Linked DNA regions of Callithrix jacchus. The protein of the gene in region 2 interacts with the protein of the main gene of each other region in a biochemical or structural test. Links are inferred from orthologs where the notes say so. Each region holds a gene or a part of one and is shown on either strand. Other genes may lie near its edges.

Evidence for each region.
Region 1: the proteins of RGS4 (region 2) and GNAO1 form a complex in vitro, tested with the Homo sapiens proteins (2 studies listed by BioGRID). The link is inferred for Callithrix jacchus from reciprocal best matches to the Homo sapiens genes RGS4 and GNAO1.

The regions. Positions count from the first base shown.
Region 1 is NC_133521.1:14,198,489-14,214,351, reverse strand, and holds part of GNAO1 (guanine nucleotide-binding protein G(o) subunit alpha), read right to left. Parts: intron 14,018-15,863; coding exon 13,857-14,017; intron 8,935-13,856; coding exon 8,806-8,934; intron 7,015-8,805; coding exon 6,885-7,014; intron 2,973-6,884; coding exon of another isoform or gene 2,819-2,972; intron 146-2,818; coding exon of another isoform or gene 1-145. UniProt on the Homo sapiens protein: Guanine nucleotide-binding proteins (G proteins) function as transducers downstream of G protein-coupled receptors (GPCRs) in numerous signaling cascades.
Region 2 is NC_133519.1:38,557,012-38,572,153, forward strand, and holds RGS4 (regulator of G-protein signaling 4), read right to left. Parts: upstream 13,992-15,142; 5' UTR 13,697-13,991; coding exon 13,639-13,696; intron 13,375-13,638; coding exon 13,098-13,374; intron 10,257-13,097; coding exon 10,152-10,256; intron 9,862-10,151; coding exon 9,800-9,861; intron 9,212-9,799; coding exon 9,045-9,211; intron 8,367-9,044; coding exon 8,127-8,366; 3' UTR 5,934-8,126; downstream 1-5,933. UniProt on the Homo sapiens protein: Inhibits signal transduction by increasing the GTPase activity of G protein alpha subunits thereby driving them into their inactive GDP-bound form. Activity on G(z)-alpha is inhibited by phosphorylation of the G-protein.

The DNA.
Region 1 (15,863 bases), on a different chromosome or scaffold from region 2:
TCCGTCACGGCATCAAAGACAAACTGGATGTTGTTGGTGTCCGTGGCGCAGGTGACGTGGGTGTAGATCTCCTTGTGGGCCGACTTGTTCTTGCTCTCGTACTGGGCCTGGATGTAAGCCACGGCTTCTGTGAAGGCGCTGGGGCCTGCAGAGCAAACAGGCAGGGGGTGGTGAGGTGAAGGGCCCATGGGGCTGCCTGGAGTGGACAACCCCAGTCTGGCCTGTGTGGCTGTCTGGCCATGGGCCTTTCAGAGACAACTGCACAGGGAAAGCCTGAGGGAGAAGACCTGAGGGCTCGGTGAAGTTAACAGGGGGCCTGGATCCAGTCAATAGGACAGATACAGTGTAAAAGTCATGAAAGATAGAAAATATCAGATCTCCCAGTATATCACCTGTATTTATTTATTTAGTTTTTGAGATAAGGTCTCCTCTGTTGCTCAAGCTGGAGTGTGATGGTGTGATCAGGGCTCACTGCAACCCCCACCACTTGGGCTCAAGTGACTGATCCTCTCTTCTCAGCCTCTTAAGTAGCTGGGACTACAGGTGTGTACCACAACACCTGGTTAAGGATTTTTTTTTTAGTAGAGATGGGATCTCACTACGTTGGCCATGCTGGTCCTGAACTCCTAAGCTCAAGTGATCCTCTCCGTCTCAGCCTCCCAAAGTGCTGGGATTACAGACGTCAGCCACTGTGTGGCCAGTCAGTTGTATTAAAGGGAGTACTGTTTTGTGAAACTGCTCTTTTCCTTTTATACATGCATTTATGAACTCCATCCTCCACTTTTTGTTTTTGTTTTTTTTTGGAGATGGTGCTCTATCGCTCAGACTGGAGTACAGTGGTGCAATCTTGGTTCACTGCAACCTCCGACTCCCAGGTTCAAGTGATTGTTCAAGCCTCAGCCTCTCAAGTAGCTGGGATTACAGGCATGCACCTCCACGACCGACTAATTTTTGTAATTTTAGTAGAGATGGAGTTTTGCCATTTGGCCAGGCTGGGTCTCGAACTCCTAACCACAGGTAATCCGCCTGTCTCAGCCTCCCAAAGTGCTGGGATTACAGGTTTCAGTCACTGTGCCTGGCTATTTATGGACTCCTGAGGCAAACGACGTATCTTACCACGGGTCACGTGCAAGGAGGTTTGAGGGCACTGGGGTCATGCAGGTAGCCCTGGCCAATGCACGACCTGCAGGTGGGCCCTTTCTTTTGGGAGTCCACAGAGAAGGCCTTGACATCACCTCCATGGCCACTGCTAGGCCAGGTGGGAGGACGTGCCTAGAAGCTTCTGGTTTCTGATGTCATTGCGTGGCTCACACGCTGCCTTCCTCAGGGGGCACCACATTGAGCTGGTTCCCAGGTGGGATTAGGGAGAGGGGAGTCTAGGAGAGAAGCTTCTAGTTTGGAAATGGGCAGAAGCACATGACCCCAGCTTTACCCTCAGACTCCATGAATCCATGCCATGCATAAGCAGGGTTTCGACAATCTGTGGAGGGGCAGCAAGGAGGGGAGCTGGAATTCAGAGCCTCAGCTGGAGTGGGCTGCTATGCAGAAAGCCTGGAGGGTCTACCAGACCTCAGCTCTTTGCTACATCTGGGCTGGACGTTGGGGAGTGTCCTAGAACTGCAGCTGGCTACTCAGGCTCCCTCATTTCCTCCTCCTTCCCCATGTCAGCCCCAAACTGGCCTTGGTAACTTGACCTACCCACCTGTTTCTACTGCCCCACAAGCCACAAGCCTAGGTCAGTAGGGCAGGATCCACAGGCCCTCAACTATGGCTAGAGAGGAAGCTGGCTTGGGGGTTCCAGGGAGGCTGAGCCCCACTCACCTCTGGCTAGACATACCCAGGTCCTGGCCTGCTGGCACTCAACCTGATTTGGGGGGATGAGGAGAGGCAGGAGGTAGGTTGCCTGGCCCCAAGCCCCGGGGCTGCCCCACTTCTCCGCCCACTCACTTTTCTGGTCAGGGTCTGGCCGTCTCAGAAGAGCTGATGGGCACCCGGGCTATGCTGGGGCCTGTAACTGCTCTGGTATCACTGACCAGGGCTGCCACCCTGCAGCTCCTCAGTGGCCCTGGTCATACTGTCTTCCTGGCTTCCCACCCACCCCATGGCCAGGTAAACCCATCACAGCACTGGCAGGGCTGGCCTCTCATCCCCAGCACCCTATGCAGTGGGCCAGGGGTCTGCAGCTTGCAAAGCTCTGTGATTTGAATCTTGCAGCAGCCGCATGTAGGAGGTGGTGTTAGGATGCATGTGAGTTACAGGCATACCCCTAATGGCAAGAGCAGACACATAGGGAGCGCTTTCTATGTGCAGCACCACGCGAAGCTCTGCGTACCTATCAGCTCATTTCCTCCTCACAGCACCCAGTGAGGGAGGTGAGGGCAATCACAGCCATCACCCCACCTCACAGACCCAGAGACTAAGGCTCAGAGAGGCTGCATGACCCGCCTGAGCTGCCTGTGAGTGGCGGAGCTGGGGCATAAACCTTGGGCCGCCTGACTCCCAGCGTCTGTGCACTGCCCCTCGTCTTCTCAGCGATCTCTTGTCACAGACTGCCCCTGAGCTCAGGTTCCCAGAGGCTGCCCTGGTCACACAGCTTATAAGTGGCAGAGCCAGGACTGCGCGTGCTTTCCCTGATGAGGAAGCCCCAGCTAGTTGCTCCTCCTCGCTACAGCACAATCTGGAGGCAGGGTGGGGGCCTGTTTGCGTGGATCCCCTGAGGCAGAATTGGGTGCATCCACAGAGTGCAGGAAGGGTGCACTGGGCTTTGGGAACAGGGCCCGCTCCCTTGGGGTCCTGCTGTCCTTGGAGGGGTCTCTACCTGTATATTCAGGAAAGCAGATGGTGAGCGGGGACTTCTTGATCTTCTCTTCAAAGATGTCCTTCTTGTTAAGAAACAGGATGATGGACGTGTCTGTGAACCATTTGTTGTTGCAGATGCTGTCGAAAAGCTTCAGGGATTCATGCATGCGGCTCTGCAACAGAGTGGAGGGCGAGTGAGGGGCGGCGCCTTCAGGGCCCTGACCCACCGCGGCCACCGACACAGCGGGACAAGCAAAGGGAAGGTCCACCAATGAGGCTGGACGCACCACCGGGACGGAGACAGGAGGATCCACAAGGACAGATGGGACGTGGTCCTGTATCATTCCACACGCAGGCAGGGTGGGGCGGAGCAGGGCCGGGCAGGGTGGGTGGATGCTGCCCCCTTCCAAAGAGAGCTGGCCCCGGGTGGGGGCAGTGAGGTCACTGGAGAGGCTCCAGCTCACGGAGAGGACATGCACCATGCACGTACAGGGCAGGGGCTGCAACCACCACCGAACACGTCTGCGTGGAACCCCAGTCATGCAGATTTCTCTACCGGGTCTCATTCGGTTTCAACAGCAAGGTTGGGAGGGTGCACGCATTTGGTTGGGAAACATTAACCGAGGACTAAAAGATCCTCGAATTAATTCCGAGTTGGAAGCAGACACCAGGGGGATAGCGTCTCGGGGGTGAGCTTGCTGTGGCCTTGGTGTGCTTGGTGGTTTCGGGTGGGGGAGAACTGGTTGTTGGCGCTGGTTTCTCAGTAGAGGGGCCAGAGGAACCCCAAGATGAAACACAGCAAAACAGATCAAAACAGAGAAGAAGATAAAAACCCAACAAGAGAAAGAGAGAAAAATACTGAAAAAATGGTTCAACCAGTCTCAGGGCCAGGGCATCCCAGCCAGTTCATGCCGAGAGCCCCATGAGGGCTCATGGGGGCGAGGGCCATCCTGGGCCTGTGGACCGCAGGGCAAGAGATGCAGGATGGGTAGGATGAGCCCAAGCTAAGTGGCTGGAGAGGAGTGCGGGCGCAGGGGCGGGCTGGGCAGGTGTCACAGCAAAGTCACCCAGCGTCGCCCTGAGAACCTGCTGCTTTCAACTCTTAGCTGATGGATTCAGTTGGAGGGAGGTGCTTCATACCTTCCGGGCTTGGAGGGTCTCTCAGAATCTGCTCATGGCTTTGGCCTTGGTTTGACAAGATAAGGCCCTGCAGGCGGTGGCGGCGACAGTGGTAGTGGAGAAGTGGTGGCAGCCTCAGGCCCGGATGGGCGGCGCTGAGAGCAGGTACGAGGCCAGGACCAGGCTCTCGGGCTCCCGGGATGCAGCGGACGGGGCGGCTGGATGTCCAGCAGCAGCCACTACCAAGGCTTTCCTGGCCTGGCTTCAGGAGCTGCTTCCAGATACCTCTGCCATGGGCTCTCAGCCCCACTCTCACCCCAGGCCAGAGAGGGGACATGCAGCGCTGACCAGAGAGGACGGCGGAGGACCAAGGCAGATAGCCTGTATCCTACAGAGCTCCTATATCCTAGAACCTAACCTCTAGCCACGGCGTCGGAATGCAGTAGCCGCAGCAGCTATTCACTGAGTGATGATTCCCCCATGCAGGCACATTTACAGCTCTTAGCCCTGTGGTCTTCACATGGCCTGTGAGACCATTCTACCATTGTCACCATTTACAGGGAAGGACATGGAGGCCTGGGCAGGGTGGGGTGGTTGCCCATGATCACACGGCTGGCAGGGGTGACGCTAGACCCTGGACCAGATCTGCCTGACTCCCAAGCTGCCCACCTCTGCATGCACCCCCAGCACATGGCGACTGCTTAGTTCTACAGTCGCGGTATTGTTCTTGCTGCCACCACAGCACTGAACTGCCTTTGTGGCTGCTGTCAAGTTGCAGTCATCCCTATTCCCTGCATGAGCTGCTGCTCTTCCCTGGGCTGCGAAGGTGGCCAGCTTTGGGGAAGGAAGAATACCAGGAAGAGCCTGCCTGTGACCTTGGCTCCATTTGCTTTGGCTTCTCTAAGGTCCTCTGCTCCAGCCCTTATGTGGAAGAGTGGGAGGAACAGGGAAAAAGGGAGGTGAGAGAAGGTGGAGAAGGCTGGAGGGCAAATACTCCAGGCAGTAAGGCACAGACTGGAAGGTCACCCAGCGCGAGGCCCAGCACCAGGCTCATGCTCACTGGGGACCCATGGGTGGCAGAGCTTGGGCCCGTGGCTGCTAGGCCCACCCAGACGTCCCTTTGCTTCCATCCTCTAGAGGTGAGCAAGAGCCCAGCCCCATGGCCGGCGGGCCTGAGACTTGGGTTGAAGCCATCCACAGGCCTGGCAGGGCAGGCCCAGGGAGAGGCTGGATTCCAGGGGGAAGTGCCCTTCCAGCTTCCTCCCTCCAGCTTCTTTGCTCTCTTTGAAACCAAGGGGAGAAAGATGAGCCAAGTGGAGCTCAGATCCCAGGGGTTGGAGCAGTTGCCTTAATAGCATAGAGTCCAGCAGCAGGCAGTGGAAAAGTCTGGGCAGTCACTATGCGGGGCGCATGGCCAGGAGGCTGACCTGGGCTTTGGGTGGTCAGTGAGTCTGGATCCAAGTATGGCCCAGGAAGTTCATCCACCCTTGCCCCACTCAGCATCAAGACTAGGCTGGTGACTGACATCACTGCCTGCCAATGCCATTGAGAACAATTACAGCAGAAACCCAAGTCAGGGGTGCAGGTGGGCCTGAAACAGGAAGACCCAGGTGGGTGAGCCTGTATACAGAGCGGGTCCAGACTACCTACACCACTAGCCCAAAGCCCCATCACTCTGCATAAGCCCCACAGGGCGGCGGCTCCTCCTCCCTATAGCACTGTGCCCCATAGCCTATACCCCAAAGCTCATCCCATCCTCACAAAACCCTGGGGACCAGCGGGGCCAGAACTGACAAGGAAACAGACCCAGAGAGAAGACAGGCCTCGCTCAAGGCCCAGCATGACAACGAGCCCCACCTCAAACCTCAAACCCTCAGTGCCAGCCCTCAGAGGCATGCGGTGGGGCATCTGCATGTGTTCCAGACAGAAGGAGATGACAGATGCCTGTGACCCCATGGCCTATGGGCCCCGCCGTCAGGAGTGTTGGGGCTTATCTCCAGTGACCCTGTGAGCCATGCTCAGTGCCTGGTGGGCTGCAGACCAGAAGGGGACCACACAGTGGACACGCAGGCTGAGGGCAATCACCAGCAACCGTACAACCACCAGCTTGGTGCTGCTGTTCCAGAAACAGTTCCACAGTGCTGCACGTGGATCACCCATCCCACTGCCAACAGCCCCCCACAGGCAGGTACTATTATTATCCCCCTTTTATGGAAACTAGTAACTGAGCCAGAAAGGTGCTGCCTAAATTCAGCAGCAAGCCAGTGAGTAGCAGAGCCAGGACTAGGCCCAGAGGAAGGCTGCACTCTCCCAGGGGAATGTTTCCCTGCTGAGGCCTCAGGCTGAATGTGACTCGAGACAGAAGGTAGGAGCCTGGTCTGGCATTTGGCAAAGGAGCCCAGAGCCACAACTGTCACTCACCAGCATGCCTCATCCCTATTTCCCTTCCCGGCCCATCAACCCCGCACACTGCTCCCCAGCCCCCTAACCCCACACAACTCTCCCACAGCATCCCCGGCCCCACTCTGCTCCAGTAGCATCTGAGGCCAGTGCCCCAGGGATGGCTGTCAGGCTAGGACTGCTATTTCTGTTGCATGTACATTCTTGCTTGGCTGCCTTCTGCTTTTTTTAGGGTTTGCTTAATTTTGCTCTGGCCTGATGGCCTCTGTGACTCTGCCAAGTTTCACATTCTTTATGGCTGTGTGTGATCAGTTTGCACACACAGGCTCTGGGCCAGGGGCCCATGAAACTCTTTGCCACACTGGCATCATGAGGCACTTGCCTTGGCAATACAGAGTGGTGGAGTGTTCTGGCACGTTCCACCCATGATGGAAACCCCTAACCACAGCAGCTGGCTGGACCCCAGAGCCACAGTGGACACCTGAGGGCTAGCGCTCACAGGGCTGACCTATCCTGTGGCTGCCTCCTCTGTGCTGCCCTCTGCCCAGGGGGCCCAGGCCACTCACCGTGGTTTCGTCTTCGTGGAGCACCTGGTCGTAGCCGCTGAGTGCGACACAGAAAATAATGGCTGTGACGTCCTCAAAGCAGTGGATCCACTTCTTGCGTTCAGATCGCTGGCCTCCGACGTCAAACAGCCTGTAGGAGGCAGGGAGCTGGTGGGCACAGGGTCCAGGCAGGTGAGGGCTTCCTGGGGGCCAAGCTGTGAGTGTGCTGAGAAGATGGGGACTACGGCGCTCAGAGCCTTGCTAGAAGCCCTCACTAGCAGGCCTTGTCACTCCAGGTGCTGAGAGACAGCTGGACCACTGCCATCCCCAGGCACTGCCCCCAGAGTCTGTCCTTGGACTGGCTGTGCTCACATATCATAACTCAAAGACCTGCCCTTGCATCTGAGGCATTTTACTAAGAGGGCGCATCCAAGCTGGCCCCCAGGAAGCGCCTCTCAGAGTCCTCCGCTCAAGGTGCCTTCAGTCTATTCCTTCCTGGGTTTGCTCTCGGCAAACCAGTCTGGGAGGGAGGGAGGCAGGCAGAAGGTGTCACCTGTTATATGGATGGCAAAAGTGAGCCATCCACAGGGTTAAGACATGCCCAAGCTGGTGAGAGTCTAGCTGCAGTGGAGCTGGGTCTGGCTGCGGACAAAGCTGGTGCTCTCACCTCTGCCCAGCACAGCCCCTCTCCAGCAGATCACCGCCTGGTCTCTTCCCACTCTCAAACTCCACCCCCGAGGGGGCACAAAAACTGTTGGAGAGACTGCAGGCAGGTGGGACTTACACCCTGGAAGTAAAAGGTCAGTTGCCCACCCCAACCCCCAGAGCAAGGAGCCCTGCAGCCTCCTAGATCTGGGAAGCTGACACACAGCCGGCCAGAGGGGGACAGGGAAGGATTCCTGGTCCAACTGGACAGAATGGAGCAACTGCAGGCAGAGATCAGGGACTGGAGAAAGGAATGGGTCTGGTTCTTACCCTATCACTGCCTCCCCTGGATCCCACCTCGCCATCTGAAATGCAGGGGTGTTGGGAGATGGCCTTTGTGGCCCCTCCAGAATGCTTATTCTCAGACCCTGCCCACTGGGCCAGGTTTGGCAAGATCCCCATCCTGTGCTCCCAGTGGGGGAGCAGGAGAGACCAAGGAGCCTGGGAAGGCAAGGAAGGCCCCTCAAGGCTGCTCTGCCCAAGGTTTTGCTCCTCAGATCCGTGGAGGCCTAGGGGTTCCTGGGCCCAGAGCCTCGCCCCCTCAGTCTGAACAGTAGTGGGCAGGGCTGGGCACATGAGAGGCAGGGAATATTAGAAGCCAGTTCTCCCAGGAGGGGATCTCTGCCCCCCACTTCTCTGCTGGCCTCTGTTCCCCACAGGACGGAGCAAGGGCTCCCAGGCCTCAGTGCATGCAGGTTACTGCAGGTGGGGACACAGCTCTGCAGCAGGTTCCAGGAACCAGCTTACCCATCAGGCCCCTGCTCTGAGACTCCAGAGCCCCTGGGTTCTAGCTGTGCTCTATGCACATGTACCAGGAGAGAGTCGGTCAGCTCCCTCTGCTCCTTCCAGCTCTGGGATTACATGGGTCCTCAGGGTCTCACAGATGTTGCTTAAGCTTACCCAGCTCCCTTCTCAGTGACCTTGGAGGGGCCACCTGGTAGTCTACCTCCTCCTCCTCCTTGGAAGTCACCTCAGGGGCAGGCTGCCCTCCTTTGTTCAAATTCTCCCTGTTCGTCAGAGCCCCACTCTGAATGTTCTTCTAGGAAGCCTCCCTGCTCATCCCAGCCCCTAAACTTGACAGAAACTGACAGGTTCCTTCTGGTATCCAGCTGCCTGCCCCAACCTGTGGGTTCCCTGGGGAGGACGATGTCTGGGCGCTGCAGACGAGTTGTGCTAAGAAGCCGGATATGTCCCGTCTTAGCCCTCGCCAGGGTCTGGGGGCCTCCCTGGGCCTCACCTGAAGTGGAGGTTCTTGAATGTGAAGTGGGTTTCTACGATGCCAGTGGTTTTGACCCTGGTTCGGAGGATGTCCTGCTCGGTGGGCTGGTAGTCGGCGGCCCCAATCCGATCCAGGCTGTCCAGGTAGCTGGGGATGGCAACAAACGGGACCATGGACCAAAAGCCTGGACACTGCTTGGGACTGGCCAGGCCACCCACCTTCAGAGTCCAGTCTTGGCCAAGGCCCTCCAGGTGACTGTGGAAATGGCACTGCCTCCATCCCTGGCCATGGGGAGTGGGGACAACTGAGGAAGAGGATCTTACTTTGGCCTCGCATTCTCAGAGGGCCTCTCATTCATAGCCAAAAGGCTATGCACGCAACTCTGGGGACACTCAGACAAGATCAGACTTTTACATGAGACTACCATGTTTATAATAATACTGTGTTGTCATTTCTTCATTTAAAAAATAATAATGGCCAACAGATAGGTTCTATTCTTTCCATGTGTAACTGTATTTCATGCTTCATTTCCCTGAGTTAAATGTTCTAAAACTGGGGCTCATTGAAGGTAAGTACCTGGCCTAAGACCATGACCCGGATACTTGGCCCCAGAGGCTATACTCTGATACTTTCTAGGGCTTCAGAGGCCCCCGAGCCACTCCCTGCCTTTTCCACACTTCCTTCTCACTTACCAAGGGGTCTGTGTTCACCTTCCCATTTGACATTCTTGGAGGCTCAGGGCTATACAGCCACACAGCGGCTGGGCCTCCCTGGGACCCAGTCTTTGGAATCAGGGCTCTTTATCCGGCTACCTCTTGCTGTGGGGACAGACCAGGCCTTTGCTCGTCACCTGCCCAGGCCTCAGGCCTAGCACTCAAAGGATGCTGCCTGCAAGGGCTTTGGGTTCATTATGGGTTAAGTTTGAACCTAATGCCAGGGTAGTATCTGGGAAACCAGAAAGTGGAGAGCTGGGCCATGCCTGAAGGAAGACTCAGGGATCCACGGAGACTGCCAGGCCACCCCTTCCAGCTGTCGGGATGAACCACATGCAGCCCACAGGGAGAAGCCCTGAGTGTCTGTGCCACAGGATGATGTGGGGTCCCAGGCTGCATTTGCTCCAGGACCTGCTGGGGGCCAGCTGGCTGGCTGGACCTACAGTCACCACTGCAAAAAAGACGGGCATGCTGACCAGCTCATGGACGCCCACAGGGCTAGGAAGGGTGGACACCTTCACCAGATAGGGTGTTCACTGATAGAACCCAGTGAGAATCCTTGTGAGAATTCCCGTAAGAAAATAAAACAGAATGGTACATTCCAAGGCTCAGGGAGGTAAGCCTGGAGTCACACTGCAAGAAAATGAACTTGGTGATGGGGAGCAGTGGCTCACTCCTGTAATCCCAGCACTTTGGGAGGTCAAGGCAGGCAGATCATGAGGTCAGAAGTTCAAGACCAGCCTGGCCATCATGGTAAAACCCAGTCTCTACTAAAAATACAAAAATTAGCTGGGCATGGTGGTAGGCACCTGTAATTCCAGCTACTTGGGAGGCTGAGGCAGGGGAATCACTTCAACCTGGGAGGCAGAGGTTGCAGTGAGCCAGGGTCACACCACTACACTCCAGTCTGGGTGACAGAGCAAGGCTCCATTTCGGGGAGGAAAAAAAAAAAAAAATTAACTTGGCTGGGATTCAGCCCAGTTCTGACTAGCTCCAGACCTCATACTCTTAAACTGGACTCCATGAGCATTTTAAAACACCAGAAAAAAAATTTAAACAGGACTCTGGGCCTCCTTTCCTGTGCCTGACTGCCCTCTATAGAAGTGACAGTGTGGGGATGGGGGTGAGGGAGCCGAGGCTGCAGAGCAGACCTGTATGTGCCCCTGGCCTCTCAGCCTCCTCGCCAGCCAGTGGTATCTGGGCAGGCTCTGGCCTCAGCCAGGAGGAGCCCTCCCAAGCCTCTGTGCCTGTCCCACCCTGGTGCTCGTGGCCTCTGCTTCCAAGCTGTACTAGACGCCCCCTGCTGTCATCTGCAGCTGGCAACAGCCTGGAAGCCACTGGTCCTGCTTCTCCTTTCCTAGCCAGGGCAAATCTTCAGACAGGCAACCTGGCCCTTTGGCCTCTCTATGCTGGACAAGCCTCATGCAAAGAGATGTGGAGGGTAGGGCGAGGTGTGGGAGAGCTGTTTAACGATCCAGTCAAGAAGTCTATGGAGACTGCCCCGTCCCCAGCACCTGGAACAGTGGTTACTGACTGTGCTTCTAGGATGGAGCTTGGGGACGGGATGTAGCAACCTGAGAAGGCCTCCCCTGTCACCAATCCGTGGGCAGGAGGCAGCGAGGGAGTCTGGAAAGGGCAGCCAGAGAGGAGGCAGGTGCTGGGAGTGAAAGGAGGTCCCAGGAACTGGGGGACTGAACCCTGAGTGGGAGGAGGCTGATGGAGAGGCCCCCAGGATAGGACTGGGCTAAGAGCCATCTCATCAGGGGAGGAGCAAGAGCCCAATAGGAGTGGAGTCAAGAGAGGAGGTGAGGAGAGGAAACATCGGCCACTGGCATAAACAACTCACTGGAGAACCGGATTTGAGGAAAACCAATGGCAACCAGGCCCCAGAGCACCTTTCACAGACCCTGGTTGGATGTGCCCAGAGTTTCTGGGACCTCCCTCTAGGTGACTATCCCGAGGGGAGAGCCAGCCCTGTTCACAGAGGCCGGAGTGCACCAAGAGCCTTCTCAGGAGCCTGTGCCCTGCTCCCTCCCCTGCAAGGGGCTGGGCAGAGAGGTGCTTGGTGGTTGGGGCATTAGGGTGGCAATGGCACCCTGTGGAAGCATGTGCTATGGCAGCCCTGTGAGGCCTCCCTCTCCCTTCCAGCATAACAAATCTACTCCGATCTGCTTTCTATACTGGGTCCAAGACTTTGTCAGAAGCTGAGGTCTAACTGCTAAGATAGGAAATGTGCCAGATCCTTCTAGCCCTGACCGCTTGTGTGTTTCCTGCCTTTCCCACCCTCTCCCAGAGGGAAGACACAGAAGGCCCAGCCATGGTGACAGAAGAGAATGGTAACATCACCAACCTTGGAAGTGGAAAATTTGAAAGAAGGCAGAGACGAGGGTGCGGGGAGGAGAATTTCCTCAGCTTACTTGGTGGGGAGTTGACAAATACTGACTCAAGTTTCTTATTCAAAGTTATAAAGGTAAGCAGCGGAAGAACTAAAAATAATCCTGTAACTAGCAAAAAGCCGGAGGTGAAGGTGGAGAGTGGTGGAAGGAAGGAAGGTGAGCTGAGCTCCCTCGATTCCAGAGTGGGTGGCAGTAAATACTATTTTGAGTTGGAGGATCAAGTTTTCTAGATGCCACTGGGACAAATAAATGGATATGGGTAAAAGTGGGAGGGACAGAGCTGGTGGGGGGAGTAGAAAGAAGACTGCATCTCGTTTTATATCCCTCTGCATTTGTTTAAATTTTTTTTTTTTTTTGCAAAGGATTCATGTTATAATTAGTGAAATGGGTAAAAATGTAAGTGGAGAGCAGGATTTGGTGAGCTACTAGAAGACAGATTGGGGCCAGCTGGCCCTAAGGGCCCTTGAGGGTCCTGCAGGTGGCCAGCTGAAAGTGACTCTCTCCTGCCTGGCTCCGATCTGTGATTTGAGTGTGCACAGGGAATGGTGGACACCGAGCCTCTGGGCTCACTGCCTTGACCAACAAGGTGTTCCTGGGAGCTCATCAGGCCTGGGGGCCTAGGTAGCCATCACCTGGGACTCACAGGACTTTGGCATTTGCCCTGTGGACAGTCTAGGTGTGCAGAAATGGGAAGTCGCTCCCGGCCTTGCTCAAGTCCCTAGTCTGTTAGCTGTCATGTGGCCCGTGGAAGTGGCCAGGAGTGCACATTGGCCTCAGCCTCTGTCCAGTGGCATTGCGCAGATCAGGGTTTCTTAATCTGGGCAATATGGAGGTCTGGGGCCACGTAACTTTGTTGTGGGGGTCGTCCTGCACACTGCGGGATGTTTAGCAGCATCACTGACCTCTGCCTGCTAGATGCTGGCAGCACCATCCTAGCTGTGGCAATCAAAAATGTTTCCAGATGTTGCTGAATGTCCGCTGGGGGTAAAATGGTCCCAGCTGAGCCTGGTGAAAATGGCTGGACTGGATCATGTCAGAGCCTCTTCAGCTAGTGGGATAAAGCGCAGGGGCTCCTTGCAAAAGCCCCCACTGAATGTGTGGTATCAGATTGCAAAAGCAGGTATGTTTCCTGAAAGCCAAGGGAGAAATCCCAGTATCTCCATGACAGAAGACACGTCCCTGAGTGACACTGACTATCCCAGGGCTCTGGAGCCTCCAATCTAGGGGCCAAGGGCACAGAAGCAGTCAGGATGTCCTTGGAGATGCCTAGAGTGATCAAGCTGCATCTGGCGGAACTGTGACCCTGCTGTCACGGGACAAGTGAGGAGTACCTTCTAACCAGCCCTGGCTTTTACCACTTCCCACCTCTCTATCTCTTCTTCTTTCTCCCTCTCTCCCTTCCTTTCTTCTTTCCACCCTTCTATCATCCCCCTTATTTAGTTATAACACAGTATTAAAGTATACATTTATTATATTAATTAGACTTATATAACTCTTATTTTTAATTTTAAAGATAGAGGAATGGAATAGCTTATTATTTTCTCTATAATAAAACAAAATGGCACCATTTATTTTCTGCCTATATGGCTCCTGGTTTGGTTTATATTTATGGGGTCAGGGCTCCCCATGACAAAACAAAGCTGCTACACTGAAAGCAGTCTTTCTGCAGTGCCAAGCACTCTCCGGACAAGCCAGTGACAAGGTCCCGGCCCTCTGGGAATTTCCACTGTTTGGTTGTCTCTTGTGCCCTCTGCCTTCTCTGGCCTTTTCCTCCCCCTGGGGGCAGGAAGAGAGGCCCCTTCTCATTCCATCCTGACACCCCCGACCTGTGGCAGAACATCTCCCGGCAGGCATGACCTCAGCTGAGAATCCTCTTTGCTCTGCCAATCCCCATCGCCAATCCCCCTCCACTCCTGTGTCAGCGCCTGGCTGCAGGGCGCCCGCCCATGGGGACACTCACTATTTGGCAGAGTCGTTGAGCTGATACTCCCGGGACCGGTTGAAGCACTCTTGGATTCCTGAGTCGCCCCAGAGCCGCATCATGGCGGAAAGCAGCTCTGCAGAGAAGGGCTCGGTGTCTTCCATCCGACTTACCACATCACACACCATCTTGGCGTCAGCCTGTTAGGAGAGATGGATGGCGGGCTTTAAGGCTTTGGTGAGGACAGAAGACCCCTGCCAGCCAAGGGCTCTCCCCTAGCTGGAACTGTGATGAGGGCCCAGCCAGTTCAGCAGGACCATAGCTCAGCCCACAGCCTGCTCCTCGGAGGGCCACGAACTGAGCCTCCTCAGTAGGGGTTCCTGGGGCCTGTGGGGCCTTCTACCACATGGACGTCCTTAAAGCAGGAGCTCCAAGCTGCAGCCAGTGGAGCCCCAGAGTTTTCCCAGGCAGTGAGGGGAGAGTGGGCTGGGCTCCATTCTCCACCCTCAACCAGCAGCTCTGCTTTCATCCTGAAAACTTGGTATTTTGTTTGGGGAAAATTGAAAAAAAAAAAAAAAAAAAAAATCAATGTCCTTGGTTGAGTTGTACTTTTCTATACTTCTTACGCAGGGTGGAATGGAGTCCCTAGAACTGGGCTATGTGGGGGAGCAGGCGTTTCGGTGGAGAATTCCGGTTACCTGAGGGATGGGCCATAGGGGGACTGTGCCTCAGGGCTGGGGGAGGAGAGGGGCTGGTCGCTGAGTTAGTGCAGATGGCAAGAACCCCTCATGCCAATGTTAAATCTCAAGAACTTTGGCCCTTGGATTGCTCAAAGCCAAAAGTCCATTTTTATTAATTTATCTTATTTGTTTGTCACCTGGGCCTACCTTTTTCTGGGGGCAGGGGAAGCCCCCAGGTCAGGTGAAACAAGGGAAGGGGAAAGGGACAGGTAATGTTTGAAGTGCTTTCCTTCTCTGCCTCCTCCCTTCCTCCTTTGTCTGCGTGGGTGTAGCTGAATTTGCTTAAGGTGCACACGTGTAGGCTGAGCCTCCTTGGAATTACAGAAAAAGTACTGCATAATTAACAGTTTTTTTCCCCTTCCCCTTATCCTGGATACCAAAGTGGGGTCACCTGTTTTCAAAGACTACAATCCCATACATGTAACACCACAACCAGAAGTGTGGTGGTCTTTAAAGATAAGACTTCTCCTGCAGACATCCCGGACCGCACCATCTCTACCACCTTGCACACAGGAGTAGTACTTAGTGTACAAAGGATTTGGTTCACACACTGTCCCCAGAATGTCCCCCACCTCAGGATCAAGTGGCAGGAGATGTGTAACCGGGCCTTTCACCCTTTGCTCTGCACCTCTGCAGCTCCTCCTGCTAAAGGCAGAGTTTATTTCCTGTCTGTCTGATGTTGAGTATGGCACAGGACTTGCTGTGGCCCACAGAATGGTGCAGGAGTGGCACTGTGCCAGCTCAAGAGGCCGTGTGTATTTCTGATCGTCCTTGTGGGCCTTGCCATCACCATGAATATGCCCAGGCTCTGTCATTCATCCTAGGAAGAGGACCTGGGGAGCACAGTACAGAGTGGAGCCTGCCCTGGGTCTCAGATGTGCAGCAGAACTAAGTGGCTGGGTTTAGGAGAGGTTTGTTAGATGGCATTGCTGTGGCACAGTTAATACAGCAGTCACTGTAGTATTACCAACCCCACTTCACAGTGGGGAAACTGAGGGCCACAGAGAGGAAGGCACTCACTTAACAACACAGATGATGAGTGGCAGGGCTTAGACTCAAGATGAGGAGCCTTCGGACTCCAGGGCCAGCCTCTATGGTCAGACCCACCTGTGTTAAGAGCACCCTGGACGGCCGACAATTCCTAATAGAGGCGTCTAGATCACATCTGAGCTGGCCTTGCCCAGGAAGGTCTGTGCTGCATCTGAGGCAGCCACAGTCTTTAACGTCCAACTTGAAGCAGGTAAGGGCAGAGCAGGTGCTGCCTCAGGCTGCCCTCCTGCCTCTGTCCATGGAGCTCACTGCCTTG
Region 2 (15,142 bases):
TTGAGATAGAGTCTCACTCTGTCACCCAGGCTGGAATGCAGTGTGGTACAATCTCTGCTAACTGCAACCTCTGCCTCCCAGGTTCAAGAGATTCTCCTGCCTTAGCAGCTATATGGGAGTTTATTATGTATTAAAGTACACAATCACAAAGGTACAGTAGGCTCCACAAGCTGAGGAGTGAGGAGAGCCAGTCTGAGTCCCAAAACTGAACAACCTGGAGTCCAATATTTGAGGGCAGGAAGCATCCAGCTTGGGAGAAAGATGTAGGCTGCGAGCGTAGGTCCATCTGTCCTTTTCATGTTTTTCTGCCTGCTTTATATTCTCTGGAAGTTGATTAGGTTGTGCCCACCAGATTAAGGATATATCTGCCTTCCCCAGCCCACTGATTCAAATGTTAGTCTCCTCTGGCAACACCCTCACAGACACACCCAGGTTTAATACTTCATATCCTTTCTTGGTAGAAACAAAGAGTACGAACTTTTACTCCCCTAGTTCTATAAAACTAATCTGGGGCCAAAACTAATCTGAGAAAATGCTTGTCTAAATTAGAAATTGGGGAAGATTTATATAAATAACAGATTCCCAGGTCCCAACTCGAGAGATTTGGAGTTTTAGGGACAGGTACCCAAAACAACAAAACAAAACAATGTTTAACAATGTCTCTGTTGAGTTTGGAAACTCTGTCCACAAACAGTCATTTTCTATGTACTAGGCTAATGTCTTAATGCAAATCAAATGAGATGTGTTTCATAACCTTGAGGAACCGGCAGTGTCGCTTGAGATACAATGATAAATTCATGTCACAGGACAATGTGCTAGTAATAATCAAAAAAAAATAAAAGCATGCCAGAGTATCGGGGGAATCCCACAGAGGAACATTGAAATCATGCCAGAAAGTGGGGGAAGGCTTTTCAATGTGAGTAGTCTTGAGCTAAGTTTAAAATAAAGAGTAGGGGTTAGCTAGGTAAAGGAAAAGATCAGAAGACAAAGTTGGAAGATGATAGAGGCAATTAAAAACATGCTATTTCAGGACCAGCAAATCTTTATTGCAAGATCCAATGAGGAGTTGTAGAAGATAAGGCCAAAAAGAGAGATCGATTCAAAATCATACAGAGTACTGAATACTAGCCTAGAGTTGAGAGTTTTGCAAATTTTAAGCAGGTAATAACCAAATGAGCATCTCAGAGCAGACTAGCAGCTATTTGGAGTAAATTAGTGGCTATGAGATGGGATATTGAGAGGCCAGGAGAAAGGCTAAGGCCATAACCCGGGCGATACAGCACAAGAGCCTGGATGAAGCTACATCCACACAGGTGGAGAGGCAGACATAGCTTTTCATAGGGTTTATCTAGAGAAATTCTGCAGAGTCGGGTGACTTGGAGTGTATGGAGTGAGTCAGAAGTAGGAAATTGGGATGATTCTGTGGTTTCTAGTTGGAGTGACTCAGTGTAAGATCAGGCCATCACCAAGGTAGGAAACAGAGAAGGAGAAACAGCATTTGACCTGGAATTTACAAACAGTCCTTACAGTTGTGCTTTTTAATACCCCCAAAGGCATTAAAAATATTATTTCCTAGAAGGCAATAGGTAGCCAAAATATCACGGCCTGACAGGGGAGAAACAAGAAGAAAAGGCAGGTGGATGTTAAAGGTGTGGTGGAGAGAGAAAAAGATAAGCAAATTTTGTCTTGAATGTGACTTCACTAGAATGTGTTTCCCACAATTTGTTGTTATTGAGGAGATGTCTCAGTGACATATTGTCTTAGAAGAAGATGACTGCACAAAGACCAAATGGATCGGTAAAATCATCTAGGAATTTTACAAATAATACTTGAAAAAAATCAACAAAAATTTTCTTTTACTTCGTTCAGAAGCAATAGCTTCAAAGTTGACCTTGCAAAGTCACTCTCAAGAGGTGACTTCACTAATTCTCACGTTCTAACTTACCACATTTTCCCATGCTCTTGCCTTTACTGGACTTGGGTGTGTGTCTGTGTGTTTGGGGGCAATTCCCAGAGGGAATTTGACCCAAATCCTCTGCTCACTGTTGGCTTCCCTCCGAGAAGAGGAACAGGAACAATGTGACCAGGAGTGCCTATTTCCAGCTGGGATGTCATCTGAGTGTGAATCCTGGAATGGCTGACTAACTCAGATTCCCTGTACAAAGCCTCCCCAAACAGTACTAAAATAGAATCAAGGAGAGTTGGGGTATTCTTTTATCCTTTTTTCTTCAGGTATTGAAAACAGCAACAATGGAAGAGTCACTCTGTGGATGGTTCAATATCTAGCAAACTTAGAGTGAAAAAAGGATACAGAAAAGTGATTCTTAGAGAGAAATCTGACCTTGGTATCTGTTTCTTGCTTCCAAAACTTACCTTTTGCTAGTCCTCTGGAAACCTCTCACCTGCCCCAGCTCAGATAGGACTTGGAGACCAGCCAGTAGAATCAGTTGCTCTAGGGTAGGCACAGCTGACTGTGACATGAGGACCTGTGCATATTTGGCATTTGTCCTTCCATACCACATGTATCTTCATTTTCTTTTCTTCTTCTCTCTCTCTCTCTTTTTTTTTTTTTGAGACGGAGTTTCGCTCTTGTTACCCAGGCTGGAGTGCAATGGCGCGATTCGGCTCACTGCAACCTCTGCCTCCTGGGTTCAGGCAATTCTCCTGCCTCAGCTTCCTGAGTAGCTGGGATTACAGGCACGCGCCACCATGCCCAGATAATTTTTTGTATTTTTAGTAGAGAGGGGGTTTCACCGTGTTGACCAGGATGGTCTCGATCTCTTGACCTCGTGATCCACCTGCCTTGGCCTCCCTAAGTGCTGGGATTACAGGCATGAGCCACCGCGCCCGGCCCTCTTCTTCTCTTTTATGTCCCCTTCTTCCACATTTTCTTTCCTGTCTTTTCCTTCACTTCTTTTCTCCAGTCTTTTTATCTGTTTATCTCTTCCCTCCATTTTCATTTCTTCCTGTTATTCTTCCTTTGCTTGCTTTTGTTTCTGCTATTTTCCCTCCTTTTCTGGCTTCTTTGACTAGGGTACGCAAGTGTGTGGGCTTTGGAGGTGAATTTCTGGGTTTGACATAGGCTCTACCACTTCTTTTGTATATGATCTTGGGCAAATTTTTTTAAATTTCCTATATCAAAATTTCCCCATCTACTCTGAAATTATATTAATGCCATCTGCTCCAGAGTTTCGTTATAAGGATTTAATATGGTAATATAAAGCTGTAAAGCACTCAGCATAGGCAGGGCATAATGTAAGATACTACTACTGCTATTATTATTATTTTATGAGAGGGAGTCTCACTCTGTCACCCAGGCTGCAGTGCAGTGGCGTAATCTCAGCTCACTGCAACCTCCACCTCCTGGGCTCAAGCGACCCTCCTGCCTTAGCCACCCAATTCACTAGGATTACAGGCGCATCCCACTACCACCTGGCTAATTTTTGTATTTTTATTAGAGACAGGGTTTCACCATGTTGGCCAGACTCGTCTCGAACTCCTGACTTCAAGTGATCTGCCTGCCTCAGCTTCCCAAAGTGCTGGGATTATAGGCATGAACCACTGCACCCAGCCCTAGTGTTAAATTTAAGTCTCCTTTGGAAATCAAGTTCTCTCTCTAGGCATTGTTTGCCTCCATTTGGGTGCCTTAGAAATAGAATAATTCCTGATCTCAGATCTCCCAGTAATCTCTTTGAATGCAAAATTTTAAGAGTCTCATTGCTCTACCTGAGCTAGCCGGGCAGCAAAATTTAAAGAAAAACTAGATTCTAATTCTAAATGGATTCTAAATCATCTCATCTGATTTTTTTCTTATATCACAAATAGAAGTAAACCCAATATTTTCCTTCCTCATGTCATATTTCCATGCGACATCTCAATGAGCAAAGCAATGCATATTACAACATCAGATAATTTAGTTGTTTACTTGTGGTTTAATGACCTGAGCAGATTCATGCTTTGAATTCAGCCTCTGAAATAAATGAATGGTGCAGTTTAGTTTTATGATGTGTTTTAGAGTCAGGCTCATCAAATGAGCCACTTTATCTGACTGGCTTTCCTCTGCTGTGACTTTTCATCCACATGTTTGGTATGGGCTGAGAAGTAGTTGATTTCACCTTCAAGGTACTTCTTTTTTATTTCTTTTCCTTCCCCTTTCCTCTTTCATCCTTCTATAGTCACGTTTCCAACTTTAAAAATCTAAGCATTATTAACATGCAGTGCCAGAACACAGCCTGAGGCACCTTGGCCAGTGTTTCCCATCTTTAAAATTTAAGGGGAAATGCTCATGATTAGCATCTATATCTTAAGGTTGTTGTGAGAATTAAGCGTGTTATTTATAGAAGGGCCAGTCACAGAACAAACAATAATAAATGTTTTTCAAAAGGTGGTCCTTGTAATACATATCTTCAGAAAAAGGGTCAGCCAATATTTTTTTGTTTCTTTAATAGAGAAAGAATGAGGGAGGTAGACTGGGGAAAACGGCACTGCTCACACTTGCTGCTAATAGCAGTGACTTTGAATTATGCAGCAATTCTTTTTTTTTTTTAGGCAGAGTCTCACTCTGTCGCCAGGTGACAGGCTGGAGTGCAGTGGCACAATCTCAGCTCACTGCAACCTCCGCCTCCCAGGTTCAAGCAATTCTCCTGCCTCAGCCTCCCAAGTAGCTGGGACTACAGGCACACGCCAGCACGCCCAGCTAATTATTTTTTTTGTATTTTTAGTAGAGATGGGGTTTCACCATGTTGGCCAGGATGATCTCGATCTCTTGACCTCGTGATCCACCCGCCTCGGCCTCCCAAAGTCCTGGGATTACAGACTTGAGCCACCGCGCCCAGCCTACCCTGCAATTCTTGATTATCAAATAGAGTGTACAGCAACTATACAGTCTCAGTGAGAGTCTGACACATCTGTAGTGTAAGAGAAGAATGATAGTTTGGTCTGTTTTGAGGGGAGATTCTGAGAGTTCCCTCTAAATGTGTATGAAAAATTTAGATTCCTCTATGTATTTTTCTTAAAAGATGGTCAGGTCCATAGTTTTTACCAGATCCTTAAAAGGATCTATTACTCGGCTGGGCGCAGTGGCTCACGCCTGTAATCCCATCACTGTGGGAGGCCGAGGTAGGTGAATTGCCTAAACTCAGGATTTCAAGACCAGCCTGGTCAACACAGTGAAACCCCATCTCTACTAAAAAAAATACAAAACATTAGCTGGGCCTGTAGTCCCAGCTACTCACGAGGCTGAGGCAAGATAATTGCTTGAACCTGGGAGGTGGACAGTGCAGTGAGCTGAGATCACACAACTGCACTCCAGCTTGGGCAACAGAGTGAGACTCAGTCTCAGAAACAGGGATCTATTACTCAAAAGTGTTGAAGAGCATCCGTGCTTAACATCTTGTACTACTCTTACAATGGGAAAGAAAGATGATGAAATGGGAGTCTCATGACACAATAAACACAGCACACGTTGCCTATCACTGAGGATGTGAACGTTCTGTGACCTCTTTTCCAGGAAAGAGAATTATTAAGAGAGAGGGAAGGATTTTGAAGTTTGGGTAAGAGTCTATAGCTCCTTTCAGCCCTCTCAATTTCCCACTGCTCTACCATCTCTCAAGCAGGCAGGTCATCGGAAGTAAAAGAACACTTCTGGAAGGTGAACTCTATCAATTGAAAATCGATTGAGAATCTGCAAGCAAATCACTTAATCTGTTTAGCAGTGTCTGAAGCTAAGATTGCCTTGGTTCTATGAGGAAAACCAGGCAGAGCAGTGGCATGAACTAAGGAATAAACAATATTCAGTTTATGCTTTCTTTCCCAGTTCACTGGCATAGGAGGGATTAAAAACTCGGTTTGAGTCTTTTTCTAAAGTCACCCTACACTCTGATGTTTCTCATAACATGTCTCTGTGGATCATTAATGTGTTTCCAAGCAAATAGTTTCATATGGAGCGTTTATTTACCCTTATTATTAAGATGCATGTGTTTCACTGGAAGCATCAGCTTTGAGGCCTATAAAGCACATTAGAGAAATATGCATGCAAAAGGAAGTAGTAATCTGTCCAGAGAGCATGAGCAGGCAAGCTCACCATAGGAAATAGTGATGAAACAGCAGGGAAATACAACCGAAAAACACACTCAAAAATGTATTACATAAAATAATTTACTTCTCATTCAGAATGACCTTCCAGACCTATTGGTAAGACAGCAGTCTGTGAGTTCAGATACAATCTGAAAGTCATGACAATTATAATAGGGCAAGACCAATAAAGTTACACATTTGAAGTCAACTAGAGACAAAATTGTGGAACTGTGTATAACAGAAAATGACACTGATGAGGAACTGCAGGGATATTAAGGGCAAGATTGCCGGAGAGACAAGAAGGGTACAATTAGAAAATCTACATCTTTAATACAGTGATATTTGTATGCACACACTCTGTGTCTTCATTTTGCAGCCCATTACATTGGCTTAAAAGCCACAAAGGTACTCATGCATGTAATTTATACTGGAGAAACAAATGCAGTGTATGTGGATGCATGTGTGTGCACTTTCAAAGGCAGTATTTTTAGAAGAATGAGAAGAAAATTACTTCCTGGGCATTCATTAATAATACAGGTGATATCCTGCACCTCCATTTATAAAACAATATAATAATAAAAGCTTGTACAAAATAACATCATAAATAACATAAATGAGAAGTTTTCAAGTATTTCAATGTGCCTTGAAAAGTTTCAAACAGTAGCTCTAACAATTGGTTAGACGATGATTTTTTTTCTTTCCTTTGCCTCCCATTTAGTCTCAGAGCCTAAAAAGAAATGCTTCAGTCTCTGTTAGCCCTGATGTTTGGAATGAAATTAACAAGATTCTACCTTGGAAGAGAAAACTTACGTGGGCTCTTCAAATTGTGAAAACTTGTTTCCCTCTTATAAAATATAATCTTTCCCCTGCTGCTGGTTTATAAATATAGGCATATAGCCCAGAGCCATTATAAAGAAACAACAACCAACCACAATAAACTAAGAAGCCTCATCTGATGGCTAAGGTTCTCAGGAAAAAATGAGAAGAGCACCTTGATCAGGAGAGGAAAAAAGGATAGAGGGTAAAAACGGTAACCTTTAACTTCTGCGCACTCTTTCAGCCAGTAACTTATGGTAGGTGTGGCTGGTAAGGCCTTCACTGCATTTCTTCATTCAGCTCAACAGTCTCCCCACTCCGTATCAACCCAGCTGCTAATAAGCATGCCCTGGCAGCCTAGGAGCTCAAAAGTGCCATCAGTGAAAACCAGCTCAAAGGAGCTAAGGTATTTGCTCTTTAGAATAGTGCTTGAAGTGGAGGCTGTCAGTGGTTAAATCAAGCGTGAAGTTCCTTGGATGCTTCTCCAGCGAGATCCATGGAATTTTACAAAACCAACTTTCCACAGGTTAGCATTTCTTTCTTAGCCTACGTGGCAGTTAGTTCATTTTGCCCTGTTCAAAGGTAGTATGAAAGAACAGAGATCGAAACATGCATGTAAGTACATACACATACTCTAGTTATGAGCACCTAGGATCTTTCCCATCATTCTTGCAAAAGTTTGTGTGTGTATATACATACACTCATACATATATATGTATACACAGACATCTATATACAGAAATAATGTATATATGCGTATGTGTACATATATATCTATATATATATATAGACATACACACAAGCACATATCACAGATCAACCTCATCTAAACATCTAGTCTGCAGAATGTGCTGGCCAACAGAATACATGTGCATGTGGCTGTCATGTGACATGCACTAACCAACTAACCCAAGATAAAACTGTTGGGAGGAGGAAACTGCCAACTATCTTTGAAAATCCAGATTGACCAGGCCGTGATTTAGATATTTGCTCCCATAGAACTCTCAAAGAAACTTAGGGAAATTGGACTGGGATGGGGTCCCACCCCGATGAACACTCAAACACCAAAAGCTATATCTAGTTTATGCGTGGAAGTGACTCACACATGGCAGGCAGCATGACTATTAGGCTACAATGTGGATAAAGCACTGGAGCTTAATACAGATCAATATTTGGCCTCAGGTTTTCCAGAGCATTGAGTCTCGGCATTTCATCCCTCTGCCTCCATGTGAGAATCAGGCACACTGGGGGACCAGGGAAGCACAGTCTGCGGAACTCTTGGCTCCTTTCTGCTTCTCTGCCCCACAGCTGGAAGGGTTGACCAAATCAAGATAGAATCGTGACTTGAGGAAGCGGCGGTAGGAATCCTTCTCCATCAGGTTGAAAATTTTCTTCTGGGCCTCATCGAAGCAGGTTATTGTAGGCTCCAACATGTTCCGGCTTGTCTCTTCCCTGGTGCAAGAATCCAGGTTCACCTGAGGGGCAAAGGCCAAGACTCCATTAGACCTATATCCCGATGGGAGGCTGCATGCTTTGTAGCGACTTGTAAGTGACTGTGTACCCACCATATTTCAGAAGTGAAAAACAAAAGTGACATCAGGCTCGTCCCTGGCACATGTGAGAGAGTATAAAAGATTCATTCTGTTTCAGAGTAGGGAGGGCAAGATCTTCTGTTCTAACAAATTGGGGAGATTCATCAGAAAACTTCATGAAGGGAGGTTATGTAAGTCACATGGACGAAGGAGATTTTTTAAAAATCTGATTTATTTGGGGTTGTCAAGATTATGATAGTCAGCTCCACTATTCTAGGAACCTTCACCAAGATCCAGAGAGTTCTCTGCCATAAAAGCTTAACTTTTTGGTTGTTTGGCTAATGAGTAGAAGGAATAGACAGAAAGCCGGATAGAGGGAAAAAGTTCTAGTGTTTGATTGCATAGCAGGCTGATGACAGTTGTCAATAGTTCTTGCTGTATATTTCAAAATGGCTAGAATAGGAGATTCGGAATGTTCTCTAACACAAATAAATGATAAATATTTGAGACATCTATGTACCAATTGCCCTGATTTGATCATTACACGTTGTATGCATGCATCAAAATATCACACATACCCCATGACTAGGTACAATTTTCATGTATCCGTAAAAAACCCACCTCTTTGGTTGCCTGGACTGAGATGAATTCATTATAGATCTTTTTGGCCTTGGGACTTAGTTTAGATGGTGATTTGATTTTCTTGTACTCTTCACAGCTGATCCAGAAGTCAATATTCTCCTCACTATATTCAGACTTCAAGAAAGCTTTGAAAGCTGCCAGCCCACCTGTGATACAGAAGGAAGGACCACAGTTGTCATCACACCGGCTGGCCTCTTGGATATGAGATTTCACATAAAGCTGAGGTACTTGGGGAAATAAAGCATGGGTTCAAGCAATCCCTTATTTCATCCGCTTTTTTCAAGTCACTTGGAGTCAGGTAACCCTAATCTGTGTTTGATGTCTAGTGGATTCCAGTTCTACCTAATGATTCACACTCAAGTTTGAAGCCTCTTTCAAGAAAGTATTTCGTTTCTGAAATGCCTATGCAGCTATCTGTTACCAAGGTGGATATGGGAAAGAGAAACTGATATTGATTTTGCAAGAAAATATCAATATTTATCATTTTTTTCTCTCTTCCCTTTTTCCTTGTGATGAGAGAGCTGATTTCCTACATGGTTCCTGTATAAACTTTTCATTGTATATCGCAAAGCTCTAGGGCATTTTAAATTTTAAACAGACTGAATATAAGACCAAAAGGGTCTCCTGAGTCTGAATATCAGAAAGAAGCCAGGCCTTGCTGCAGTTACTAACAGAGCAGCACGATATAACTTGTCTGATCTAGAGTACCTCATCCAGGTTGCTGTCAAACTTACATTCATGACTAATCAGGTTTTCCAGTGATTCAGCCCATTTCTTGATTTCCTCTTGGCTCACCCTAGAAAAATTAGAGAGAAACAGAAAATAATTGGAATACTATGATACAAAATTGGGGCAAGAAATCTAAGATCCTGAATGTAAAGCAGAGATTTTATTTTCCATCATTATTACAAAATATATTGTTGATGAGGGCAGTTTTTCACTAAATGTATAGAAATTTCGAATGTAGTTATACTCTCCATGAAAAGGGGGGCTCTCTTGGTTCAAATCCAGCTTAAGTAGGAGCACAACACATCTATCATCAGATAGTTAATACTCGATAGATCTTCACCAGGCCTTTTCTCTTACCTCTGGCAAATAACCACTTTGTCCTTCTTGCAGTGAGAAGAATTATGTTCACAGGAATCAGATTTCTGCAGCAGGAAACCTAGCCGATGTTTCATATCTTTTGCACTGCACAGAAGAGGAAAAAAAGAATCAATTATGATAACCAACTTTCATTAAGAGATACCTAATGGTAGAGCTTCAAGAGTCCATTACTAGTCTATGGCTCAGAGGCATTTATTTAGGGAATAGGAGTTGGAGGTGGCATGAACTCTGAGGAAAACAAGATTCCGCTTTTGGTTGCCTATGACTTGCTACAAAACCTTGAGGCACAGTCATAACACTAGTTCCTTCATCCACAACTTGAATTCTGACCCTTCAGTTTACCTCAGAAATCTCAGAAGCCTTTGTATGCCGGTCATTTTGACCAACAGAATACCTTTGGTATCTTCAATAGAACCACACTGAAAACATGAGTGATCTCTGAGTAATTTTTAGGAATCAGAAGGCAGCAGCTGCGAAAGATGCACATCCTTGCTGCACGCCACCTTCTGGCAGGTGATTGCCATTTCCATCTGTCTCCCTGCTGGCAGAGAGGGAACTGTAGAAGCACCTCAGGAAAGTAAAAGTCTATTCCGTTCCAGCCCTGTACATGGTGGGCCAAGCAGTCCCTGCTGTGGGGTATGCAGGGAGAATACACTGAGGTGCGCAGCTCCAGCAGAGGGAAATGGAACATGGACGGTGAAAGCAAATGCCCAAGCTGAAACCTGAGCTCCTTGGGGCTTCTTTGTAGACAGTACCTGCTGCTGCTGCTGCTTTCCTATTTAATAGCTACGTTAAAGGACATATACACTATAAAGGGCATTTGGGGCTTAAAAACTATAGGGAGAAGGAGGCTAGAGACATCACTGAGCTTCTAGTTTATTGCGGCCGTTTTAATAGGTAGCCAGGGCACAACAGGGCTCCGGACTAACTAGAAAAACGGGGTCCTTTAATAAGCCTTAAACTCAACTCTCTTACTTTTTCTTAACTATCCTCTTGCTTGCATCTCTTTTATTTTAAAAGCCAAGAAATAATTTTAAAAGAGAAATACCATTCTTTAAAAAATGAATAACTAAATGTTCCTATTTGGAGCAAGAAAAATAAAGCCACAGAGATATAAAGACATTTAGGATGACTACTAATACATTAGTGGCTTATGTGTGTAGGTTTTCCCAGAAATTCTGAATTCCATTATGTTCGCTGACTGCCTCTTAAATAGTATTTTCTCTTCCTCCCAAGACTACTTTCCCTCCTCTGCCTCCCTGACTGATGACTGGTCAGGGGATATACTATCCTTTTTGATGATAGTGAGATATAATCCTGAATGTTAGGGTAATTCCGAGGTGATAATATAAGTATATCATGAAGTCCAAATAGAAATGAATTCATATTTCCATGTGCTGGATCCACCTGAGATCTGAGAGCTATTGATCAATGCAGGGGCTAAGTGTGCTTAGCAAGTATTCTTATAATAAAACCATAAAAATAAAAACCAAAATGACTTCAGAAGTTATTGGAGCCAGGAAATCTAGATTTGGCCCTAACTCACCCACCATCTATGTGACCTTGAGTAGGAGATGGCTCCTCTGGAGCCTCAGGCACTGGTGGTAAAGATGTTGCACTAGACCATTTGGAGTTTACTGGTGAGGAAAGGGAAGAGCAGCTCATCTGGCTAACACAGGGTTTACCTCCTTAGATTAGCTGCTTAACTCTTCAAGGGCAGAGCTCTAGTACTACCTTTCTTTATCTGCCTTGCAAAATATTTACCAGAGCATAACTTCTCCTGACCCTCTTGTATTTTTGAATGGTTCATTTTATATGTAAGTTAACTGAAGCTTGAAGTGATTTGCCCCCCTCCATTCAGAAAATTAATCATGAAGGTCAGAGGCACTTATTTCATACTCTCTGCCAGACCCTCCTGCTTCATTTTAAAGAAGCCATTGACACTTCCACACTCATGAATGACACAATATTTGAAAAGTAAATGTTTGAATAGTACATAAAACATTATGTTTTCTGAAATTATTTCCAAAATAAAAGTTGTGGTAATTTCTATTTGCAGGGTGATAAGAAAGCAGGTATATACCTCTAGAATGACTTTTTACCTTTATCTGCAAGATTAAGTAATGGAATATGCACTCATTTTGTGTTTCATTTTCAAGTGGCTAATATACGATCATTCTCTGAATGCATTTGTTTATGCTTTTAAAAGCATAAACAAATGCATAACTGTATGCCTGTAAGGTGTTTTAAAAACATTAAGAGAGCATACTAACAAAACAATGTCTTTAAGGTGAGATCTTCTACAAAACTGTTAACTGATTTGTAATGATCAGTACTTCTCAACCACACTCATCTAAGATACTTTAAGAACTAGAGATAGAGCAGAGAGATACGGAAGATCTCATTGTAACATTTGATTATAAGAACATAGAGAGTGAAAGATACTGAGCACCACACAGAAAGCATAATGCCTTTCCGATAATGCAGCCAAACCTCATTATGGGGTACTTTCCCTCAAACAAGATGTAGCGTACAATCAGAAAGCCCAGAGCCAGGCTTCTATATACTCCGGGGATGCTCAAATAACAGTAGGAATCACAGATGGAGATATTACAGACCACTATCCATAGCCTCAAACCTTATCTCACTTCTTAATTAAAACTAGCTTGCTTAGACCTGGCTTAAAGAACAGAACGGTTACCAAAATTGAGGTCATAAAACAACACGTAAGGACTGAAATTTGGGGAGCACATGTCTTAAGTCACAGTATCTAGCTTGTCTTGGAGGAAGAAAGTTAGGAAGTCATTGCTCTCCTGACCACATTGTTTCTAACTGCACAGAACTAGGTTAGTAAGTACAACATGTAAATGACTGAGAAAGTCTATCCAAAAGTTCAGCATGGTTAATGGCTGAAAGCAATCTTACCTCCTCAAGCAAGAAGCCGGCAGACCTGCAAGCCCTTTGCACATCTTATTTAACAGCTTGGGATTTGCAAGCAGAAAAGAAATGCGGCAGGAGGAGCTGTGGCTTCGGCTTTGAGCGTACTTTGCCTCTTCTCCGGCAAAGATACTGTCAGAATTCTCTGAGCGTCTTTCTCCCAAGCCTGTAGGGGTCTCTTTTATAGCCCAGCTACGACCATCCAGCCAATCAGACGACAGCTCTGCAGTACCAGCTCCTCTGTCTCCCTCTGCCTCTCCAGCCCCTGAAAGAGACGAGGAAGAAAAGATTGACGCATCAGCAATGCTAAGCGAACGAGCAGAGAAAATCCTTCTGCAAAGTAGGCAGACAGAAAAAAATGTACTCAACGTCTCTATGAATGTCAAAGGTTTAGAATTTCTAGAAAAGGAAAAAAAGCGTACAATGCTGCAAAATATAGTATTTATTCATATATCTATTAAAAAAAAAAACAATATCAAGGAAAGTTACCTCCTGAAGGAAAAGTACCAGCAAAAATTCTGGAGCTTACTTAGGAGTTGACTCCCAATGTCCTTCCTCTTTTGGATTAGAAGCATCATATTATACATGGTCCAAGGTCTGATCTTCACGGTTTCCAAAAGGGAGTTGGTAGGATCATCGTCTCCATGCAGCGATTTGCAGAAGTTGCCTTGGTTGTTATGCAAACAGGAAGGTGGAGAGCAATAGCTGGATGACAGACAGTTATAAGCCCGGCAGCAAAGAGAAACTAGCCTAGGAAAAATAGATTCGCGCTATCTGTAATCAACCCGACTGCGGAATACTTTTCTAGAAATCTTGGTAACAACAGAATTCAGCCTAGCACTGACAGTTTCTCCTTTACATGCCTGCATCCTATAAAAGTCTAAAACAGCAGCTCGAGGACCAAAGGAGGGAGTAGATGAGCAAATACACACACCAATTCTTATTGGCAAATGGGTTTATGTCTTATGTAACTCTAAGTCTCCAAACTGCTATCTCAAAAGATAAAGAGGGATGTACAGAGAGAGAGAGAGAGCAGGCAGAAAAATATGTAGTTTGCCTTATATATCACCGGCCTTCAAACTAATCATATCAAGTCCTATGGGTGCTTCTGAACACCTGGACAATTAGTATCTTTTACGTACAATATCATGGACTGAAACGACTGCGTGGACAAAAACATTCAGGCATTTCACATCTTATGGCCAGATATCAAATACCTACACCAGAGTTACAGAGGGATCTTTTTCATGGAGGAAAGCTATACGTGGAAGGGGGGAATGAATTGCTAAGTCTGACCAGAACAGCTTTCATTTTGAAAGCAGATAGGTTCCTAATCATAGGCTACCATGAGCTGTTCTTTATTTATAAGAAACAGAGGCATCAAATGGTTTAGGTGGAAGAGGTGAAAATAGTTGGGTTCCAGTGAAATGCAAAATACCAAAAATATGGAAAGAATGGCACAAAGCAATGCCCATACGTGGCCCTACCTAGTACATGCCCTTGAACATCCTACGCTGCCCCCAGTACCACCTCCTTCCATGACTAGCAGAGCAAGAAGACAGCAGACAAATATAAAATGGTGGAGGGACCATAATCCACAGAAGATGCATTTAAATTATAGGAAAAAGTCTCTAGCTGCCCATAAAGATAGAAAGACGTTTTATCAGATTAGCTACTGGGCAACTTTTCCTTGAATTATAACAGAACAAATGAAAGTTGACAGCCATCCCTGATGGTGGTATGGAAGGAACTGCAGTACAATGTGAAATCAGGGAGGTCATCAGACCAAGGAAGACGAACCAGGGAGAAGAACCAGTCAGAACTGACATCAAAGAGGACAGATTAATTAAAAGGGAAAGAAGGTCACTCAAAGAAGAACCATGACCTTCTTTGTTTACCTACGCACCTAAGAGAGTGATCACTCAAATAGATTGATTTTGGGAACATAAGCGAGGACCCAAGAAGATTTACTGATGTCTGAAATTCTACAATGAGAACTTTATGTCTTGGACTTAGAATAAGAGAAGCCTGAT